Nothobranchius furzeri: one gene and its partner. The protein of the gene in region 2 binds, or shares a complex with, the protein of the main gene of each other region. Links are inferred from orthologs where the notes say so. Each region holds a gene or a part of one and is shown on either strand. Other genes may lie near its edges.

The links.
Region 1: the proteins of brat1 (region 2) and ints11 are in contact, whole or in part, in a cryo-EM structure (PDB 8UIB), measured with the Homo sapiens proteins. The link is inferred for Nothobranchius furzeri from reciprocal best matches to the Homo sapiens genes BRAT1 and INTS11. Residues at the interface, in NP_689956.2 of Homo sapiens: Asp25, Thr27, Cys28, Glu30, Lys31, Asp34, Pro117, Ser156, Ser157, Leu158, Phe159, Ser162, Lys358, Ser359, Cys366, Arg367, Arg424, Arg427, Thr465, Lys468, Lys469, Trp514, Glu515, Asp518, Ser519, Glu522, Tyr560, Ser564, Ser604, Glu605; in NP_060341.2 of Homo sapiens: Leu9, Val15, Gly16, Lys27, Met35, His36, Met37, Gly38, Phe39, Arg43, Asp47, Tyr50, Thr58, Asp59, Asp62, His70, Leu71, Asp72, His73, Asp87, Gly88, Gln97, Pro101, Ile102, Glu105, Arg108, Lys109, Val112, Asp113, Lys114.

Annotation. Positions count from the first base shown.
Region 1 is NC_091755.1:39,094,584-39,102,973, reverse strand, and holds the start of ints11 (integrator complex subunit 11), read right to left. Parts: upstream 4,188-8,390; 5' UTR 4,042-4,187; coding exon 4,014-4,041; intron 3,929-4,013; exon of another isoform or gene 3,887-3,928; coding exon 3,789-3,886; intron 1,751-3,788; coding exon 1,677-1,750; intron 845-1,676; coding exon 616-844; intron 468-615; coding exon 369-467; intron 297-368; coding exon 262-296; intron 1-261. Other genes in the region: cptp (ceramide-1-phosphate transfer protein), read left to right, coding at 5,083-5,216, 6,182-6,704; ddx19a (ATP-dependent RNA helicase DDX19B), read right to left, coding at 8,366-8,390.
Region 2 is NC_091744.1:16,245,808-16,253,067, reverse strand, and holds the end of brat1 (BRCA1-associated ATM activator 1), read right to left. Parts: intron 4,214-7,260; coding exon 4,140-4,213; intron 3,371-4,139; coding exon 3,286-3,370; intron 3,209-3,285; coding exon 2,952-3,208; intron 2,872-2,951; coding exon 1,993-2,871; 3' UTR 1,856-1,992; downstream 1-1,855. Other genes in the region: GRB2-related adapter protein, read right to left, coding at 17-136, 323-420, 515-592. UniProt on the Homo sapiens protein: Component of a multiprotein complex required for the assembly of the RNA endonuclease module of the integrator complex.

The DNA of each region.
Region 1 (8,390 bases), on a different chromosome or scaffold from region 2:
TTGCATTTTATTTAAATGTACTCTACTTTTTAGAAAGGTTCAATGGACAAGTGTTGCAAATTAGCACTTGTGCTAACACACTAAACAATGCATCTGGTTCGTCCAATGTAATTGCTGTGTCCATGTCAAATAAACATCACTACTACTACTATTTTCTCTTCTCTCTCCACCCACTCATTGATCAGCATACTTAACCCAGAGACATGGTAATAATATTATGGACTATATTAATATCCCTAAGGTTGGAAAGAGGCAGCTTACCCTAAGTGCCTGTCTGGTGTCATATTGTAGTCCCCCTAAAAAACAAAAAGATTTTGGTGAGACCGCACTTCCGTTCACCGACTTCAGCTCAGACGTTGTACACTCACAGTGTAGACTACAGACTCTGATCCCACTTTGATTTGCACCATGGCAGCTCCCAGGACATGGCCTGCATAGTAGGCCTTGATCTCCAGCTCATCATCCACCTGCCAGGAGCACCACACAAACAACTTGATTTGCCATCAAATGAGAGAAGCAGCTGGCGCAGAGAGAGAGAGAGAGAGAGCGAGGGAGACAAGCTTAGATGAAACTCGTTTGACCCAGAGTGTCAAAAACAAGATGTCAACACAGCACCTGGACTGTTTGGTGCAGGTTCAAAGGGACCACTTTCTTCATGCAGTCCTTGATCATTTGTGATGTGAAGAAGTTGGTTTCTCCCTTCTTATCAACGGTGATCTTCCTGAAATCCTCCAGTAAAATGGGACAAATGGCCTTGGTGGGGTGAGTCATGTAGATTGGACCATCGTAGCCCACCATCTCACTCATGTAGGGCAGAGCACCACAGTGGTCCAAGTGAAAGTGGCTGAGAGGAAAAATAGCAGTTGTTTAAGAAAGTTACAGATTTGCAAAGGTACCGTACTTTCCGGACTATAAGTCGCACTTTTTTTTCATAGTCTGGCTGGTCCTGCGACTTTTATTCAATTCAATTCAAGTTTATTTATAAAGCGCCAAATCACGACAAGAGTCGTCTCAAGGCACTTCACATAATAAACATTCCAGTTCAGGACAGTTCATTAAGCCAATCAGAAATAATTTTTCCTATATAAGGAACCCAGCGAATTGCATCAAGTCACTGACAAGTGTCAGTGACTTTACGGTCACTGACTCATACTAAGCAAGCATAAAGCGACAGTGGAGAGGAAAACTCCCTTTTAACAGGAAGAAACCTCCAGAGAATCCTGGCTTAGTATAAGCAGCCATCCTCCACGACTCACTGGGGATCGAGAAGACAGAGCAGAGACACACACACACACACACACACACACACACACACACACACACACACACACACACACACACCAACGTGAATTATATACCAAATTATGTAGGCTATACCGCGCTGCTGTGGGCCGGCTCCGGACCAGGTTTCAGCTCCTCTGCCCCACCATCACCTGCTGGAGACCGTGACGAGCTGCTGCAACAGCTGGTTGTTTATTCTGCTGTTGTATTGTCTTGCAATGTGAAACGCTTGGTCTCAGATTTTGTAAGAAAAATAATAAAATTTCCCCCCGAAATGCAACTTACAGTCCAGTGCGACTTATATATGTGTTTTTCTTCTTCATTAATACATTTTATGGCTGGTGCGACTTATACTCCGGAAAATACGGTAAGTAGAAGAAAGTCAAAAAACAAACCTGATGATGACACAGTCCAAAAAATCTGTCAGACGCCCGTTCTGGGTCACATAGGAGAAGTCAGGGAAACGTCTCTGGAACACGAACACGAACACGAACACACACACACACACACACACACACACACACACCTTTAACTGTTCAGAACAAGGACACAATTTTCAGCTGTAGATTAAGTGTGAAGTTGCACCATTAGTGTATGTAACTCACTACAGGAGCACCTATCAACCCATGTGCAACAGCAGCATCGCTGTTTCATCTCTGGTTACACATTTTTAGCAAATACTTTTTACAGCTTCAGATGTACAGTTGGCTGCATTTAAGGCCGGAGAGCTCGTCTTTTGCTTTATTTTGGTCCTATAACATGTCCTCTTACAGATCAGGGGTCTCATTTATCAAACGTTGAGTAGAATCATCACTAAAACCGTACTTAAGCTCAGCAAAAAATATGTACTTATGCCAAGTAGGTTTGTGATCTATCAAACATGGAGGACGCACAGCTGCACGCAATCTCCGCTTCATGAATCAGAAACTATCTAGAACGATTCTCAGCTGCTTTTTAGTCACATCCCGCCCTCACCACGCCCACTTTCTGCCATAAATGGTCAATGCAAAGTGCCTTGTGGATCTCATGCATATATATAAGCCGGCTGTTGCAGCGCTCCACCAATAACATGGCGACCGTAGATCAAGGCAGATCAAGGAAGCGCAATTTCACAGAAGCAGAAGTTGAGGTACCTGTGGGTGAGGTGGAGAAATGAAAGGAAGTACTTTTGCAAAACAACTAAGAGAAAATCCACGGAGTGGCACAGCGTTGCTGAAGCCGTCAATGTTGTGAATTCTTCAGAGAGATCTGTGGCGGATATTAAAAAAATGGTCAGATTGGGATTCAATCCCCAGACTCCCGGGCGAAAGTCACGCACGCTAACCAGTCATCCAAACGGAGAGCTCCCTTGTACAACTAGCCAGGGTGCATGATCAATCGGGTCACAGTGACAGGACACACACCGTCACACACGCATGACATTCTGTCTCAATCTGTCCCCCTGCTGATATTCTGTATTCCGTATTCTGCGCTTCAGGCTGTGTGTGTACGCACATGCGTGTGTGTGGTCCTGATCTGTGTGCGCACGAAGCGGTACAAGTGATAATGCTGCAGGATTTCATAATGTTATCCTTCTCAGCAGCAGCACTGCAGGTGCTCTCCATGTCCAAAATGTGCGTAAGCCAGGTCCTTAGTCAACTTAAAGTTGTGCACATGTTTCCGCTAAGTTTTCTTTCATAAATCCCAAAGTTTGCGTGGAAAGTTGCTCACGCAGTTTTCCGACCCGTTTTGTGCGTAAGCAAGCTTGATAAATGAAGCCGCTGTAGAGGGAGCTTTGATCATTTATATCACTATATTCTGTCAACAAACTGTGAAATTGATATATTAACACAATGTGTTTGGCAGCCTTGCCTCTGCCAGTGCACCCTAGGGCAGCTGCGGCTACATCGTGGCTCATCCCTACCAGCGTGTGAATGGGTGAATGGCTGATTGTGTTGTGAAGCGCCTTGGGGGGTTGTAGAACCCCAAGAAGGCACTATACAAATACAGGCCATTTACCATCTATATTCAAGGTCAGGCTCAAGGAGAGGAAACCAGACACCCCTTCCCAAGCAAAACTCTCCAGCTTCTCCCGAGTGATCCCAAAACCATCCCAGAGGATTTATAACTCTGGGTTGTTCCTAGACTTTCCTCCCGGTGGGATTAGACAGGAAACGTCCAAGTGAGGCAGCCAGAAGACAATTTTAACTGACCACGTTTATGATAACTCGTAAGAAAGCAAAATGAAAATAAATAAAAAACAGACTTCCTCCTCCCATCACCCCTAAACAAGACACCGAGACCTCTCTCCTAACCTGATGGGAGATTTCCATCTATCTGGGAACAAGGACGGCTCCTGGTGATTTTATGACTTCCTTTTTCAGTCAGGTGAAGCTCACCCAGGACAGCCTGTTAAAAATCTAGTTATGCTGACAGTTGTTGTATTTTCTGACTTCATCTGATAGCCAAAGTCTTCCCTTTACCTCTTGCAGCTGAAGCTCGCCTCAGTAAACATACTCTTTACTTACGTCATCGTTGTATCCCATGTGCATCCCACAGTCCAGCATGATGTTTTTGCCTCCGATGGAGACAAGAATGCAGCTGCGGCCGACATCCTGTCCAGCACCTTGGAGAGGGGACAGAAGACACACGCAGCTTCATGCTAGTCCTGCTAACACAGCGTCAACGACAAAAGCCTACATCAAACATCGACACAGAACTAGCTTAGCACATGCTAACTAGCTAGTACTCACCTAATGGTGTAACCTTTATCTCAGGCATGTTTTAGTCAACAGTCTGCTGCCAGGATCACCGACCTGTCACAAACTGCTAACCTGTTAACAACAAATAATATTCACGATGAGAAATAAATGTTTATTAGCTCTAACTTTTACGAGCGGTTATCTCATGCTTTCAACAGGAACAGGATACATTCCGGTTAGCACATTCAAAATAAAAGTTCATACAAAAAATAAATAAAAACACTACCGAAGTCTTATTAATACTTATTTATTCTAATTATTCTTCACGTTAAAATGTGTTGTAACTTTGCGTTTAACTGTTCAAAAAATTCTAGCTGAATATTAAATATGTTTATGAGGTTATCATCATCATTGCTTTTAAGTTAAATTAAGTGGAAAACAGTGCTCTTTATTGTATTTATTAAATTAACAGAAAAACATATTAGTTTGGGTTTTTGGACATGTAGCAGAATGTTTTACAAAGTTATGTTTTTATGCAGATAATTGCTGAAGTTTAACTGTGGTTCCAGCATTTTACTTATTTATTGCAGTTTATGTTTGGAAACCAAAATGTGCCCAAAACACATTTTATTTTATTTCCACACTAACATTTAGTTAAATGTGTGTATTTTTATTTAAACGAACAGACATGAATACCCATAAAATATGTAAATAAATTGTTTCCTACTTTGAAAAGTGAAAACTTTTATTCTCGTTTCGCTTCCCTTTAAATACAATGAAATGGCTCCAGTTTCCATTTTGATTCATCCGCGAGTTTAAAATTGAGCTCAGTTGTTCTCGTTTTACATTTCCAGTGGGATTTATTTTGAAAGTAAGACTTTCAATCTCCCGTGTATTTCCGTTTGAGCATGCGCAGTAAACGTGGCTCAGAACAGGAAGGACCTGTCATTTCCACTGATGAAAAGCACCGATGAAACGTCTTCTTAGCTCTCTGAAACCTCCCCGTAGGTGATGCGTTTGCTGTCCGGGTTCCCTCGCCCAGCTCCAGCTTTTTCCTCGCCATTAAAGACGAGTTCTTCTTTAATTTGGTGGTTTTGTTCACATATCCTCATCCAGAACCATGGCAGGTTCATGGTCTTCAGATAATCAGAAATTCTGCATGCGGGAGGTGCTGGACACTTTTAAATTATGTTTGTCGCCCGATAAAGAAGTCTATCTAGAACACTACGTCGCTGGATGGCGTGGTCTCGTCAAGTAAGTGATTATCTACAGTTTTACTGATTTTTAAATAATTTCGGAGTCTACACTTACACAAAATGTGTTTATTTATTTTATTGCATAGGCTATTTTATGGCGTGCATTTTTTTTTAAATTATACAGCTCCTAAATTGGCATCATATTAGTAAACATGGAAAAATAAAATTCCACTATTCCAGAACCGCATTGGTGGCTGCACTAAATTACTCTGAGGGCCCTGACGTTGGAGACGCCTGTTCTAAAACAACTAATCTCAGAAATATCCTCCAGGCCACATGATATCTGTGTACACTGTTTTAAACCTCGACACAGTTATTCTTACTGAAGGATGAAATTCTGACAGGAATCTGTTTGCGAAGTCGCTGTGACTGCAGCTATGACTCTCTATCTAATTAGTCTGTTTCTCCAAACTGAGGCCGCTCAGTGAACCATCTTAAACAGGTAAAATAGAAATTTTTTGTAACTTTTCCACAGAAGCACTTGTAAGCTCTGATCTTGATCATGTATCATGGTATCAGATTAATGTTCTGAATAATCTAAATATGTTTAAAATTAAAACGAGGTGAACAAAGCCTTCATTGTTGTTTTCTCTTGATCTCTAAAGTTTAGAGCTTTAATCCCATCGTAGGATGGGGCTGAAACGGGTCTGAATGAATAAACACATTTCAAATCTTGTAGGAAAACCCTTTAATGTATAGAAATGCAGGAAAAAAGACCAATTAAAGACAAACGTATCTAAATCAGACACCACTGGGAAGATGTTGGGTTCTCTTACAGGTGGTTACCCTAGCAACGCCTCAGGTCGTAACCTAGTTTTCTGTTGGAGCTGCTGGCGAGTTCCTAGAATTCCTCGTGGGTCTGACTGATTACGTTTAGCCGGTTAAAGCTGGACTCTTCTGCGCCGAGCTGTAGCGACATGACAAACAGCTCACGGTGTGCATTTTCTAAATCCCCCCCGACAGGTTCCTGAACAGCTTGGGCAGTGTCTTCACCTTCATTTCTAAAGACGCCGTCAGCAAGATCCAGATCCTGTCAAACTTTCTGAGTGGGGAGAGCAGCTCTCAGTACGTCACGGTGCAGTCCATGGTGAGCTATGAGCTCGAGAATCAGCTGGTGGACGTGAACAAGACTGGCATCCACCCCGAGTCGGGCTGCCGCACCCTACTGAGGCTCCACCGAGCGCTCAGGTGGCTGGAGCTCTTCCTAGAGCGTCTCCGTACCAGCGACAAGCACAGCAAGACCTCTGTCATGTGCTCAGAGGCCTACAACGAGTCTCTGGCTCAGCACCACCCGTGGTTGGTCCGTAAGGCAGCTGGCCTGGCATTTGTTGTCCTGCCTGGACGTACTGCTTTCTTTGAAGTGATGAATGTTGGCCCCCCTGAGCAGGTGGTAGCTGTGCTGGGGGAGGCCCTGCCTCTCATCTTGGAGGTGTACCAGATCACAGAAGACCTTTACGCTAAGCACCACCTGCTGGACTTACCATAGAGGAAAAACCCTGCTAGGATCTGCTGGTGAGGGGATTCAATATGGAAGTGGACCTGTTGCTCTCTGATGAATGCCATAACTTGTATTAAATTGAAGAACAGCAGATTGTAGCCCCATGCATCCTGATTTATAATATGCTGCTTGTTTGTTTCTCTCATCTATCAATTAAAATGCACCAATAGTAATTATTTAGAAGCTAATAAAGTTTTAAAGCTATAATTTATTTCCACCTTGCTTTTCAAACTTTGATATACAGACTTGATATTTACTAGCTGGAATAATCCCAGAATACTTGACTGTCTGACTGGTTACTTGGAATGCATTAAAAATTCATTAAAAAAGATTTGGTGTGGCAGTTTCTGAGCGGGGCTTTTACTATTTATTGTTTTAGCCAAGTATTATCATTTTTACTATGACTAAATGTATCAAAGTACTTTAAATAATATACTTCATTACGACTAAAGACGCCTGGGATTGATTTGGATTAAATGTGAGGAAACCCAATTTTAATCCCATAACAGGTGCAGTTACAGCCTTCCGACACCAGGGGCTGCCCTCGTGCCGAAAACAGGTCGTCATGGGGGCACGGGTACCATGTTGCTAGGGCAACATCGTCACGAGTCGACATGAGCATCCACTTCCTGTTTCTACGGGTGGAAAACAAAATACTGATCCTCAGTACAATCATGTTTAACTTGTAATATTGACTCGTTTGTAAATTGGTAGAAAAAGTCTAGTAAATAATTAAAACTAAAGTTTTATCTGATGTTTAAAGTAACGATTGTGATGGTCCCCCCAACAGGGTAGCAATGCTTTAGCAAGCCAAGATGGTAGGAAATCTTCTCTAGGACGGTGCAGAGCCGCCAGGGACGGCTGACTCAGACAACCAAGAGCGGTCGGAGGTTCACGGCAGCCCCAAGCCAGACGAAGCCTTCCGTTACCGAGCTTCAGCTGGGCCGCAGGTGGAGCAGAGAACATTCTGCAGATGCTCCACCTGTGTGACACTCCTGCAGCTTCACCAGAATAACTAAAATAAAGTCGTCTCTCTGAGGGGAGTCCTAGAAGGAGCTGGACAAACTCATGCCCCAGCTCCAACTGCTTGAGACCCAGAGGTTGGAGGATGAGTAGATGATCAGCGGTCTCAGGTGGACATCTGCTTCTGGCAGTGAGCGATCCGCATGATCAGAGCTTTCAGCGGCACTTTGACTCTGCAGGCGGTGAGATCCAGCGCAGAGCTCCAGTTCGCTGCCAGCTAAAAAGCTTCCATCCACACAGCAACAGCTCATTTTGTTTGAAAGTAAACCAAGTGCCAAATTTGAGCTCGACATTGGGATGAATTCATCATGAAACCTTTATGCAGCTTTAAACTGGATTCAGGTAAGCAGTTAGTGCAGACAGACACACAGCTCAGTGGAACAGATGCATTTATTTAGCATAACCAGCGTTTAGTGACTGGAGCAACAAACCACTTCTGGACGTACGAAGTTCAGAAGGAAGATATTCTTGCTGTTATAAAACATAACATTTATGAAGCACACATAAAAATCCAACATTGACAAAGGTGGGCTCTGAACAACAGAATATATTTGTTTCAAATAAAAACAAACTTTATAAAAAAACAAACAAAACACTCACATGCAAAAGGAAACAGAACAGCAAGTTCATTTCAAAAGCATCTCCATTTGT
Region 2 (7,260 bases):
TGGTGCATTCACTGACCTAACAGAGAGAGAAAACTCTCCTGGGGCTGATTCACTCTCCCTCACCAGAAACACTCCTGTTTCCTGCCAGCGCAGACGCTCCTCAGCTTCAAGTCGGGACACCGCACCTGCAAACCAACTGCAGCAGCAGACAGAAACGTCTATTAAAAATGTTAAAGGCATTCCCACATAGGCTGGGACTTCAACAAACAGCATCTATTTTTTTTAATCAAAAATGATAATAAAAAACTAAAAATAAAGGTTAAAACCTCCCAACTTTGGAAACTACATCTCAAATGTGTAAAATGAGTAGTTTTCTGTTTACGGATGAGGGAGTAGGTAGATGTAGTTCTCTGGTACGTAGCCTCGCTTCCCCTGGATCTCCGATGTGAACCAACAAGAGTCTTCCTCCATTTCTGTCACCTAAAACACACACAGACAGGACACCTAAAACAACACAATCACTACTAAAAACACGCAGAAATCCCTCTAAAGCATCACAATCCTGCGGCCGTACTTTGACAACGTCCCCCTTCTGAAAACTGATCTCGTCTGGCTCTGATGCTGCAAATGAGAAGAGAGCCACAGCCTCCATGGTGGTGGGAGAGAGGAGTGAGATAGCTGAGGGAGAGGAGTGCAGCAGAGGGACGTCAGGGTGACATAGTCCATGTGTGTGGCTGACAAGTTAATGAGGAGTGTTTTCAGCCCGTGTGTCCTTCTCTTCATCCACGTGATTGAGCCTGAGCTCATCCGCGCCGTCCTTTAGCAGAAAACAGAAGTTCAGTTTCTCACCACTTGTCACATTTAGAGCTCTCCTCGGTAGCAGTGATGAGAGCTGCACACCTGAGCTGAATATCAGGAAAGAGATTCCAGGAATCACAACCAAGAAACAACACCAACTTAGTATCAACTGGGATTTATTTGAGTTTTTACATCATGACTCTGAAAACATGGCTGTCAGAAGAGAATCCTCTCTGTTTAAATCAATAATCAATGGCTGTTCTGTCACATTTCCTGTCCTGATGTGTGGATGGGAGTCAGCAGCAACAAGCTCCACTGACTGGATGGACTTTATCTCATTCAAACACATTTCCTGTTCCAAACTTCTACTGATTCGGTCGATTTTAAGGCCACTTTGACGTCCTGTCTACATTTACCATCACAGTTGATTTTACTCCTATAAAAAAAGCAGAATTTTTAAACTAATCTATATCGTAGGTCAGTTACTGAGTTTTAATTAGGACTGTCTTATGTTAGGAAATGATGCAGTTACTTTGGTCCATTCTTTATGAATATATTTATTATTAGAGATGCACGATGCATCCGCATCAACATCGGCCTGTGCTAGTCGGTATCGGTCTAAAACTGGGCCGGTGTTAGCAAACAATATTTTCCTCCACCTAGTAGCCATTTGTGTATCAGTTTCAGAAGGGGAGGGGGGTGATGGTGCGCGATAGTTTGGTCATGTGACAGTGATGGTGGTTATTCCAGAAGTGTACATGTTTGCGTGTAAATTCTCAATGAAAATGTCATTTTAAATGTGGTTTTCCGGTTTATTTTCTTTTTGAGGCATATTGGTGATGAGGAAATCTTTTTTTTCAAAAGAAAAAATAAATGTCAGAAGGGTGAAAAAAATATATATACATATATATAAAATGAAACCTTCAACTGACTAAATGCAAATTTTATACTGAATTCAATCAAAATCAAAAGGGTCAACTCGGGTCTCGGACCAGAACCTTCTCTGCTCTCTGCTAAAAACAGCCTGGAGCACTCAACTACTTTCATGTTGTGTAATAATTAATCTTTTAATTCTACTCAGCCACTCATCAGTGACACTTTTTACTAAATTTGATTAAAGACTGATCTAAAATAAATCAGCCACAACATTAAAACGTCCTCACAGGTGAAGAAAACATGTATGAACGACTCTTGTTCCCACCCATGTGTGTGTGTGTGTGTGTGTGTGTGTGTGTGTGTGTGTGTGTGTGTGTGTCAGTAACAGTCCACTATGACCTCTAGCCCTGGTTCTGAGTTCAGCTGGGTGTTTCTGCTGCCTGCAGTGAGAATGTCCTGCAGCAGAGACATGGGGGAGTTATGTACGTGGTCGCTGCTTTGCGTCAGAACACTCAGCCTCGCGTCTAAACCCAGAGACCTCAGCACCTCACACACACTTACACGCACCATGCAACCTTCATCACGCACACCTCCCTGCTCAGGTTTACGGTCATCTCCAGGATCAACAACATCAGATTTCTGAGCAGGGTCCGCATCCTCGATTCCCAGTATTTTCCGGACCTCCTGGGCCCAGCCACATCCAGGCAGCTCACAGGACACTCCGGGCTCGTCTGGTGCAGAGACCCTTTGGTCTCCTAGTAACAGAGGACAGACGGAGTCTCTGAGTCTCATGAGCAGCTGACAGGCCTTCAGTCCAACAGGCCTGTCACAGTCAACGAGACCACCCAGCAGCACCAAGAAGACTCCCTGATCAACCAAAGTGCTCAAAACACCGACTAAATCTGACTCCCCGTCCCATGTGTGTGCCTCAGAGTGCAACTGAAGCTTGAAGACTTTGTTAGACGTCACGGCGTAGGGATGAGGATGAGCTCCTGGCTCATTTGAGTAACCACGAAGACCTGAGATGACTCGGTCCATCAGCAGCTCAGCCAGCTCCAGAGTGTGAACTTTGACCTCCCAGTCTAGATCAGCACTGCCTTGTGAGAGGACAGCATGCATGGACTGCATGAGAAGTGAGCAGGAGGTGGGCGAGGGGCACAAGGAGAACCAGGTGATAAAGTACTGAAGGACAGCCCTCCTAGAGAATCCCTCCGTGTCCTGGGAGAGGATTTCATGCAGCCGACTCACAAGTTCAACCTGAAAGGACAAAAAAAAGGTGATGAACAATCACTTTATCTTATTTATTGATAAAAACAACCAGTTCCATTTCCACCTGCCTGCTCCTGTGTGGGTGCTGCCCCCTGCTGCCAGCTGGGTGCCAGTGTCTGGGCCAGAGCAGAGATGGAGCTGGCTCTCACGTAGCTCTCTGGATCCTGCAGTGCCTCCTTGAGGAGAGAAACGGTAAAGCAGCGGTCGCCCAGCAGAACCTCAGACGTGTCACACAGCCCTGCTAGGTGTCCCAGAAACTCCACGGTCGAGTCTCTCACCTCCCAACGCACATCACACACACGCTTTCCCACCACCTGGATGAGATCTAACACGGACGAGCGTTACGCCACTTCTGTCCACATGTGGATCCAGAACTCAGAGCTGCAGCAAAGAGGGGCATACCTTTTCTGAGCTGGTCTGTTATCGAGGAGAGATCCGCACACGCACTAATCCACTTCATCAGAGTTCGGTACGACTTCTGGAGGACCTGAAAAACACCCGTCCACACGCACACAGTTATAAATACTCTAGTCACAGCAGACATTTTTATGTCCACCAACCTTTCTTTCAACATTTCTTTATTTCTTCTTGAAATTATATCTCATTTGACCTTGTATCAGTTTCTGAGGCAACCATTTTTGTGCAAAAACTGCAAAAAACACCAGCCTCTCCCAAGTGTGTGTGTGTGTGTGTGTGTGTGTGTGTGTGTGTGTGTGTGTGTGTGTGCGTGTGTTGTGTTGTGTGTGTGTGTTTTGGGTTTAAGTGTGGGGAATCTGGCTGCTCTACAAAGGCAATGAAGCCCTTTAACATGAACAAAGTACACAAACAGTTCAAAAGGCATCAGATTTACAATTAAAACAATAAAACAAGACACACTATTTAATGAAATGTCAGAATCATTTGTAAAATATGGTGTTTAAATAAAAAATTATACCCATTTCGTGTTTTCTTTTGTATTCATTGGATAAATTCTGTATTTTTGTCATCTTTTTGTTGTTTTGCATTTAAATACTCCCCTATGTTGTACTGGAAGGTAAAAACAAAGCATACAGTAGAAAAACACAGAGTTACATACTGAGAAATTAGTTAAATTGATGCAAAGGAAGTACAGAAAATCCTCTACATCCAGCAACAGTACTGCTCAACGTTTGGAGCCAGCGTGAATCTAAAAGCAGATTTAAAGTGGTGAAGTTGATCATCTACTCTAAAAAATGGAAGACATGGATTTTGGTGATCAAACACACACAAGAACTTACAGTGGGCTCAGAAGCAGGACTGTTCAGATACTGCATGAGAAGTGTGAACACCTCCGCCAGCAGGACTTTCCCTCCTGAGACAAAAACAAGATAAAATCAGAGCCACTTTTGTACAAAAATCTACATTTATGCCCCCCCAAAGCAATAAGTCTAGTTGTTTTAACAGGATTACCACGCCCTGGATGACTTTAAATGAGCCGGATTAAATTATTTTGCTCCCAAACTCAGGAGGGTCTATTTCATACACATTGTTTTAAAGACAGTTTACTCAATAAGATGGAAAAATGCACAACATTTGTTTGAATTTAGGTTAATTATTTATTATACTAGAATCAATCAAAAATGCATAGGATTATTTTAGGATAAGAAATATATCCAGTGAATATTTTACATCGCTCAGAGGTTAGTTTAAATCATAAGCAGACACTAACTAGTTGATCTTGGTTGATTGGTCACATGGACAAACATGGACTACCATGCTGCAGGGGGGCAGTCTAATGGAAGCAGGGAAGAGTGGGTCCAAGCAGCTAGTCAGCGCTTTGATTGGCCGCTGCTATTCATCCCCGTCTTCGGTCTTCATCAAAGTAATTTAAAGGGATACTCTACCCAAAAGTTACATTTTGTCTGTTGACATATTTTCCAGCGTTAGAAAAGTGGGAAAAAAACATTTTCAACCAGCCCAGTTATTGTCCTGACCCAGCTGTACTTCTTTAGCTTAGCATAAAACACTGTAAGCGAATGGGACCAACTATCATTGTGAGGAAAAAAAGTCTGTTCAAATCACTCAGTAGTGATACAAATTGTATTGAGCGGCCTAAATAATCATCAATCAATCAGATTTATTTATATAGCACCTACCACCACCTTATCAGAGGCCCAAGGTGCTGAACTGCACATAAAAACAACATAGTAGATAAAAGAGAGAAAAAATTATTAAAAAAATAGAAAAGTACAAGTAAAAGTAATTAAAAACCATACAGTACAAAAGGTGAAAATACGAAAGCCAGGGTCAACGATGCTGGGGAAAGCTAGTAGATAAAAGAGAGATTTCAGGAGAGACTAACTCCTGTAGAGAAGGAGCTTGCTTCACTGCCAGAGGGAGCTCATTCCAGACTGTAGGGGTCATTACTGAGAAGACCCGGTGTCGGTGCAGGATCTGCTCGGGTGCAGGATCGGCTCGGGGTCCTTCGACTGCCGATGACGTCACATTACTGCAACTCTACTCGGCTTTCACACACACGTTTTGGAAAGACATCAGCAGTTTTGTTAATAAATTCTTGTTTGTTAACATCTAAATGTTTTCTTTATAATTGTAATTTGTTGATAAAACACCATATTATCTTTGTTTTGTAAAGAATGTGAAACTGCATAAAACCAACATCGGACTGACAAACAAACAGTTCTTATATGTGAAGCCACGTCTGTTTGTATTAACGTGGAGTTCATCTGTATAATTCCTTAGTTGTTATCTAAATACATTCTTTGACTCAAAATGTTGCTTGGTGTCTTTCAATAAAGTTCTTATGTTTTATTTTGCCCCCTTTCATCAACATCAAGAGCTTTTGAGGGTCACCGTTTATCATTTGCTTATATTTTACATTTACTTTAGAAATTCAAACATATTTTCTCCAAAAAGTGTTGATTTTTGGACTACAGGACTACAACCGCTAAGACTACGGCCACAAATTTGTTCTGACCAATCAAAATCATGATGTGATAACGTAACTTCCGTAAGCTTCATGTTCAGCCAATCAACTACTTTGACGTCATTGGCAGTCGAAGGACCCCGAGCCGATCCTGCACCGACACCGGTCCCCTTGATCTGAGTTTAGAGCGGGGGACTTCCAGCCACTCCTGCTCAGCAGAGCGAAGAGCCCGAGTGGGGACACGCCGCTGCAACAGTTCAGCAAGATATGGGGGAGCACTGCCCTGCAGCACCCTGATCACATAGAGGAGAATCTTAAATCTTGCCCCGGTAGCCAGTGCTTAGAAGCTACCACTGGCATGATGTAGTCTCTCCTTCTGGTCCCAGTCACAAATCTCGCAGCGGAGTTTTGGACTAGCGGGAGTCGTGCAGTAGTAGCTTGACTCAGTCCAGCATACAATGCATTACAGTAGTCGATGTGGGCATGATAAAAGCATGTTCTGCTGTTTCCAGATGTACTCTGGACAGGAGAGGCTTTGTCTTGGACAGCCGTCTCAGATTAAAAAAACATGCTCGAACAACCATGTTTATTTGTGCATCAAATCAAAGGGGTGCATCAATTTTCACCCCTAAATTAGTGACCACATTCTTCTGACATTGTGTCATGGAATCAAGATCAATCTCATCACCTGCTCCAGCTCTCTCACCAGGGCCGGGTATTATTACACCAGTTTTAGAATCATTTAGGAAGAGGAAGTTAGTCGCCATCCATGACTTAACTTAACTGCATGTTGAAATAAAATGAACACAAAGGAATTCCAGGCGTTATTTCAGACTTGGGACTACTTAATGATAGAGTTCATTTATAAGCTTTCGCCAATAGGCGCAAGGACATGGGTTGGCGTGACACTGCTAAATGCTGGTACATTTTCTCGAATTACAAACATAATGTGTTATGGAAGTAGGTGTCTTTAGAGCCACTGCGTGATGTTCTTATAAATTTTCACTTTTGAGTGGAATATCCCTTTAAAGAGGGACAATATGGGTTTACGTCCTTGTCTTGATAATGCAGCCAACTTTGCAGCAAACTGTTGATGATGAAAGGCTACAAACTAGCTTGTTTAGGCTAGCTTCACAGGAGTTTCAACATGCCTACAAAGTTTCTCTGCTGTTCGTGAGAGACGTGATGTCACGTGCAAAGGGTCAATAGCAGCCAAAGTGGGGGGGGGGGGGGCGTGGCCAGCTCCAGCTTGTTTTCTTAAAGTGACAGAGCCCTGAAACTGCTCATTCTGGAAGGTACTGAAACTGTCAAGAACTGCTGAAACTGCTTTATGTGAGTGATTTTATACTTCTTCAACATGATTTGTATTGACCAAAGTATTAATACAACTTAAGAAAAAAGTCAAAATATGTCCCCTTTAAAATTTGTAACCAGCTTGAAGCAGAAACAGTTTAAAGTTACAGAAGATTTGTTTG